Schizosaccharomyces pombe: one gene and its partner. The gene in region 1 interacts genetically with each later gene. Each region holds a gene or a part of one and is shown on either strand. Other genes may lie near its edges.

Region 1 (3,534 bases):
AGAAGACACATCTTTTCTTAAAAGCTCTAAGACATAGTTTGTTTTCAAATTGGAGTCAATAGACCCGCGTTTTAGTAAGGTGGACAAATTCTTTTTATCAAATGTAAACACTGAAACCTCTTCGTTGGTTCCCTTTTTGGATGCCGAATAAACAGTCCAAGGACCTACTTGGACTGAATTTTCTTTCTGGATATCATAATCATATTTAATTTTTTTGGAATTTGATACTAAACATTCAACGTTAGAATACTTACTTGGGATACGAAATGTATCTAAATAGATTATAGAAATGACGATGAGGATGATCAATTACATAAACATAACTACAATCTTTCATACAGCGCTGATAATCGAGTTTATCAAGGAATATAGCATACCTAGTCGAAGTGCATTGGCTAACATAAGCTGAAAAAGTGGATGGCTTTGGAAAAAAACAACTTAAAACAACAAAAACAAAAAGAAAAAATTATAATTATTTTTGAATCCCTTCGAAGCAAACCAAGTATAAAAATTGAACACCTTTTTTTCGCGGTAGTATACAGTGGAGATGGTAGGAATGAATGGCTTATGGATGAAATTTTTAGGGTCAGTTCAAAAAGCAGTGAAACTCTTATTTGGGAAACAGAGGATTAAATAAAAAGACAATTAATTAAAGATTATAAGAAAGTCGTATTTTTTAGTTTGATAATCATAACTTAGCCAAAAAACCTTGGGCAATGAGTCGTTCAACGTCTGTAGCACGCACATGCAATTGTGAATTTTTAGTAAGGTTAATAGTACCATATTCAGTTTCAATATCTCCAACGTCCTTCAAAACTCGGACGTCTATGAACAAATTTTTAGGAGGAACCAAAGAACCAGTCAAATCCAGCTCGGACCAAGCGCCTTTATAAGCAGCCAAAAGTTCTGAATATCTCGTTAAATAGTCACGCTCATAAGTACTTAGAGATGTATCTAAACAAGATTCCATTCGTTTGCCTCCGCTCCAACAGTATTGACGAAGCCGCTGCAGCCTTAAATTATGGTAAGCCATTAAACATCGCTTATTGTAGATACTAGAAGAATGAAACATCAATAGAGCTGCCGCTTCAGAAGGATGGTCCTGGGGCTGGAAAGGTTGACTAGCCTCATGTGTAACATTTTGAAGAATTCCTAGACTTTCGCGATCTGCTGCACGAATTTCGTTGACAACATCATTAACGGTGTCCGCTTGGTAAGGTGGGAGATAATCTAAATACTGAGTTCGCTTTGAGTCCCGAATTAATTTATTTGATCGATTCCCCAAACCATTCTCCATAGTGATTAGAAGCACTAACTATCACGATATGCTTAAACAGATTTTCCTAATTATGTTTAGTTTAAAAGAAACGGATTAGTATAATTAACAACGACACTCGATAGTTGTTTAAAGCTATATTGAATGGTTGTGGATGACAAGTCGTTGGAAAATGACATGTCTTTCATAAGACCATAATGATGCATTCCTTAGTAGAAATTTTACTGTAAATAAAACATGGATCTTTTATAACAAAATTATTAGTTGAACCTACTATGCGAATTTTTAAGAATTTATTATTTAAACATTCACACAGATTTAAAATGAAGCGTATACTTACTTGGATTACCTCAGTTTCATAAAGTAATGTATACTAATTCAAAGGATTGAATGAGCCCTAAAGGTATCATTAAACCGAGTTCCTCACATCGTCACACATGGAATGAAGAGATGATTTAACGAAGCTTCAAATTATCAACTTACAAATCATTGCTACTAAAATTATAGAAACCAGATAAAGTTTCATTTCAAAATAAAAGAAAGGATATCATTCAATGATTACAATTCTCACGTAATATTCAGAACACAGTACGATGTGCTTGCTTCATCGGACAGGGCTTTAAGGGAATAAAACAATCACATTGATGAGAAATTAGAATCTAAAGGGGTACAATTTAAAACCTATCACTCATATCCAAAAAATGGCAAGGCATATTTAGCTTCAAATAATTGAGCTTTAATGTAGCTTAAAATGATTTTGTCAGTAAGACTTTCTTTTCTGCTTACAACATAAAATCCAATCGATGTATTGGCCGTACTCAAAAAAATCCGCTTTATGTATAATCTGCGGAAGATTACACAAATTCAATAGCATGAATATCACAAAGAGCCAACGAACCAGTCCAGAGTAACAATCTGTTACAAAAACAAAACTTTTGATGCTTATTGATGATAGCAAAATACATGATCCAATATTTTCTCTTCAAATGATAGGTATAAGGACAGGGAAAGAGTCTCATACGTAAAGTAATAATATCTCAATTATTTTTTATTTCAAACGAAAGTTTCCCCTTTTTTTCCACTTAAGGAAAATTCCCTAAAATCCAACGACTTTTAATTAAAGGTTCATTAGAGATTAGTAATTATCATTACACGTATTATTTACATCGTTTTTCGATTAAAGCCAAACGATCAGAACCATGTTCTTCATATTCTTGACGTGATATCCATAATTGATGAAACGTTCCAAGACTACTTAAAATAGATCCACCTAACCATGAAGCATAACTGCGTTCAACAACATGACCGGAAGCATGGATTTTAAGACGGCTGCCAGGATATAATTTTGAAAGTTCATTTTGCAGACGAAGAGAGAATCCTTGCATCAAACTAGTGCCTCCACAAACAATAACATTGTTGAGCAAAGAAGCACGGATATCAACATCGCATTCCGAAATACAGTTCTGGAACAACTGAGGTATCCCCAAAATGCGAGAAGAAGTGTTGGTAACCGAAGAATCTTGTTGTGATACCTCATTATTTTCGGTTTGTTCTATTGGCTTCGAAGGTTCCTCGTTCATTTCTTCATCACTTCCTGGCACAAACAAATGTTCAGGAATTTGATAGCGTTCCGCGCCAAACATCATACGGGAACCGTCTGGAAATTCGAACTCTGATTCAGCAATCGTGGTTTCAGATGAAAATGGAACATCGGAAATGAGAGCACATTCTTCTTTCCATTCATCGTAGACTCGCTGGACCTGAAATTGATGATAAGAATCTGTAGTATCACGAGGACGTAACTCACAATTAGCTGGCTGCCCTATCTCCACTGGATTTTTGCTTTTCACTAAGTACTTAGGCATCACTTCGAAATTCTTATCCCTGAGAGTTTGCGCCAAAATATCGTTAATTGCATTCCCAGAAAAATGTTGAACCTGATAGCCTTTTTGAAGCACAAAACCATCATATATAGCAGACACCGAGCTACGCTCCGCACCAATGTCTACTAAACAAGCAGTACCTTTCCCGCTTGCAAACGCCGCACACGTCTCCTGCTTGGCGAGGTATGTTGCAGGACAACGCAAAGATTCAAACATCGTTTCTAGTGTTTTCACTCGATTTTCTGGGGGATTATCAAATGGTTCCGTAATCAAGATTGGATGCTCTAAAGGATTAGTCTTCAACTGCTGCTCTAATCCATAACGCCAGAGATCTACAGTAACATCCCAATTTTCAACCCAACCATTACGAATTGC
Region 2 (3,686 bases), on another chromosome or scaffold:
TAGAAGACCATTGCCAGCGGGGAATCGGGACAAGACTTCACGCCAACCTTCCTGGTTTTTGTAGCAATGAGCAAATTGAATATGAGTATGCTTCAAAGGACTGTTATCATTTTCCGGAAGCTCTTTGAGACCAATAATGTACGCGTCCTTAGGTGCATGTCGCCATGAGCCCTCAGGAACCATGGGGAAACCAAGGCGCTCAAATTCTTTGTCCTTGAAAGCACGTTGGGAAGAGCGCTCAATGGTAATTTGAAATCCAGCATCGGCGAGTATCTTGGCAGTTCTAGGAGTCAAAGCACTGCGCTCTTCTAAAGGTTTGGTTTCAGCACGTAACCAAAGATGAGGAGCAACCATTTTGGAACAGAAAATTAATTAAATATATATTTTTAAATCGAAAAAGTATTTCAACGTTTTTAAAAACTTCCCTTTCTAAGTTAGTCAAAAAAATTTAAACTAACAAAATGAAGACGTGGCGAAGGAGACCAAAAACTTAATCAAATAAGTTTATATACTGCAAATTGGCAAAATAATATAGATCAATCTCGATATAAATGAGATCAAATTTGATGCGGTCAATTTACAGATCAGCAATGATATGAGCAGAAGGGATCTTGATGGATCTAATACGCTACACAGGTTCAGTGGCAGTCACGTTAGCTACCTATCCTAGGCACAATTCACTTGATTTTTACTAGTATGCTTTTAAATAATGAATAATTTTAAAGAAAATGATGAAAAAAGCACTTTTGGTCAGTATGCGGAACTAGATAAAATACTCGACTTGAAAAAAGGGATTCCTGAGGATCCGTGTAGTTTACAGTATTACTTTGACCAAATGGCCATGTGTTTAACAGTGTTCTCACAAATGAATCATTACTATCGTTATGGTGAATACAACAGATGTAAGGGAAATTTTAAAGACTTTAAATGGTGTCTGTCAACCAAGTCGAAGGCTCACGAAGAGGCTCAAGAAGGGCTTCGTAAGCGGCGTCTTCAGCAGTGGATGAAGTTTAGGCAAGGGCCGAATAGTGAAGACATTTGGAAGATGCGTACTTCTCCAAAAAGTAGTGAATAAGTTTTTAACGTTTCGTGCTGTGTTCACCAAACGTCGATATCAATTCTTACGAAGGCATCCATTTGTTGCGTATAACATTGGGGGAATAGCATATTTGATGATGTCTTGGATGTAAAGTTCCTGTATATCCTAGTCTGCTTAACCTTTGAAACTAATTGTTTATAGTTGGCGGGGTACTTCTATTTAATTTACCTTCCAAGTAAACTCTGAGTTCTCTTTAATTTTATGAGTAACTAATTAAACGAACAACAAATTGTTGCTTTGATTTTACAACATTGTTTGGCAGCAGGTTGATTATTTACTCAGGTAAAGATTGCTGATAAACTCGAAGGTGTTGACATCTAAAGTATGGATTAAAGCGTATATGACTTGATGAACCTGTTGATGAAACTTGGCGAATAACTTATGAAATTTGGCCTATGTCGGTGTTAAAACCTTTTTGCATTTGGAAATGACATACTAAATAATTAATACGCAAAATAATTTTGAATACAATGCAATCATGTTTTGTAGATTACGGACTAAAAATCATTTAAAAAAATCAGTTTTACGGAAAGATTGTGTAAATTTTGATCGCATAATGAGCAAGTTTCATAAATAGGTATAACATTCAAACAAGCATATGCGTTTCTTTAATGAAACTATAGAACAAAGTTTCCTTTTTTTAATAAAATTTTTCGACCAATTTCAGAAGGACGAATATACACATGTATGACATACTTTTCGAGTTAAACATTGAAGCAAATTTTTAGTACTCGAACATACAATATTTATCAGCACTAATTTTTTGAACTAGATGCTCTGTTAAGAAAAGTAAAAATAAATCTTTTTTATCTCTATTTTTTTTGTTGATTAGTACTGGTGTAATTACAGTTCATTATTTATCCACTATATCTTAGCCAACTCAAATTTGAATTTATCGTTGCATCTACCTACTTTTACCTTGTAACTGCAACTTTTCTAAATGAACATATTTTGATAAAATAACAATAACACTTCTATCATTCCTTCTGCTCAGACATTAAAAAAATGGATTACTATGATATTGATAGTATCTTGTCTGAAAATCAAAAGGTTCCATGTACTAGTACAGTTTCCATTCCAGGACTAGGCCATGAAGGGCGTATGGTTAGTGAAGTTTATAAAAATAGAACTTGACTTTCTAAACAGTTTAGGTTCCTACGGGCTCTAAAGTTGAACTTCCTTTTTGGCTGGCAGAGGTTTTAGCAATTAAGTAAGTAAAGTTTTTTTTTTTTTTTGGTTTTTTCTGCATGTTACATTATATACATGTAATGTCTTATAGAAAATTGGATAATTTTGCTTATTTGCTTACTTTATAGTTCTTTTGTTAGTATTCATATGCCAGCACCATTTTCTTCTGTAGTACGAAATGCATTAAAGGCGAATCCTAATAGTGTATCTATTCGGGACATAACCACACATTATTACCATTTTGCCGAGAAAATGCTCCATTTGTAAGTCAAACTTTACACGTTTTTCTCAAATTCAAAATCTTACTAACTCATTGTAGAATATCAGACGACAGCTTGGTTCAAATTTCCCTAAACACTTTACGTTCCAGAGCAATGCTGATTGCAGATGCGTCCCTGAATCCTCAAGGTGCTTTACAACAAAACTCACAATTCATTGAGGGTTTGGATGACTTTGAGAAACACAGTATGTTCATTCTAGCCTTTAAAAGATTCAGTAGCTAACAAAAGCTCGTGCTGCCACAGTATTGAGAGTATCACATAATGCCCATCGATCCCTAATAAACTGGCAAAATTCCACTTCGTAGTTGATTGCATGCTGCGAGACGAAATTGCTACCCAGAATAGCACGCTAATCTATATGTGAAACACTAAATGAGTGTTGATCGTAAATCCCTTCTGTTCAAAGAAAAAAGAAAAGAATCCTTAACATATACTTGTTCAATATTACGTTTACTTACAAAATTAGCTTTTGTTTGTCAGATTGACATTTTCATTTATGATTAACTTTATAAAAACTCTAGAAGATTCAAACTATAGAACTAAAAAATGTTAATAAACGAACCGACACTAAAAATTAGAGGTCGATATATAAAGTACATTCAGAAAAAGCGCCTTGTCACAGGCAATCTTCGTCAATGTAGAAACTACGTAGACCGTCGTGATTAAAGTAAAAACATCATGTGAACTAAAATTCGACCTCAAGCTGATCTACTTACCTATACAAAACAGCCTCCTTAACTTCAGTGTATCTAACTAGTTTAAGGTCTTGCAAATACGTTAGAAAAGTTGTTTTAACACGAAAACTTAGGACATGGAAATATATAACTTTAGGTTGTCTATAATCAGACGCATTTCACTTCTTCAAAACCAATGGCATCAGACATATGCTTGTCTTTGAAATTTAATAAATCATCCTAATAATACCCTAAAGTACATATTTGAAGTCTAGTTTTCAATTAAGTTTTGGATACCTTTCATGAATAACCTATAATTATGTTAGTAAAATATTGGCATAGATTTAGGTTAAAAATTTGTTCTCTCAGTTAGCATGAATGGAATTTTAAGAGTCTTTTCTTCATATTGAATCAGACTCGTCATCTAATTATTCCTCATTGAGA

What was found.
Region 2: of psf1 (region 1) and psf3, extra expression of one rescues a mutant of the other (dosage rescue), as found in Schizosaccharomyces pombe (one study listed by BioGRID).

The regions. Positions count from the first base shown.
Region 1 is NC_003423.3:2,013,263-2,016,796, reverse strand, and holds psf1 (GINS complex subunit Psf1), read right to left. Parts: upstream 1,436-3,534; 5' UTR 1,298-1,435; coding exon 689-1,297; 3' UTR 501-688; downstream 1-500. Other genes in the region: serine/threonine protein kinase Ppk32, read right to left, coding at 1-227, 378-402; alp5 (Ino80, NuA4 and Swr1 complex actin-like protein Arp4), read right to left, coding at 2,434-3,534. UniProt on the Schizosaccharomyces pombe protein: The GINS complex plays an essential role in the initiation of DNA replication.
Region 2 is NC_003424.3:527,190-530,875, reverse strand, and holds psf3 (GINS complex subunit Psf3), read left to right. Parts: upstream 1-1,999; 5' UTR 2,000-2,104; coding exon 2,105-2,203; intron 2,204-2,250; coding exon 2,251-2,309; intron 2,310-2,334; exon of another isoform or gene 2,335-2,415; coding exon 2,416-2,550; exon of another isoform or gene 2,551-2,606; coding exon 2,607-2,752; exon of another isoform or gene 2,753-2,811; coding exon 2,812-2,873; 3' UTR 2,874-3,094; downstream 3,095-3,686. Other genes in the region: saccharopine dehydrogenase Lys3, read right to left, coding at 1-354; SPOM_SPAC227.17C (uncharacterized protein), read left to right, coding at 710-1,075. UniProt on the Schizosaccharomyces pombe protein: The GINS complex plays an essential role in the initiation of DNA replication.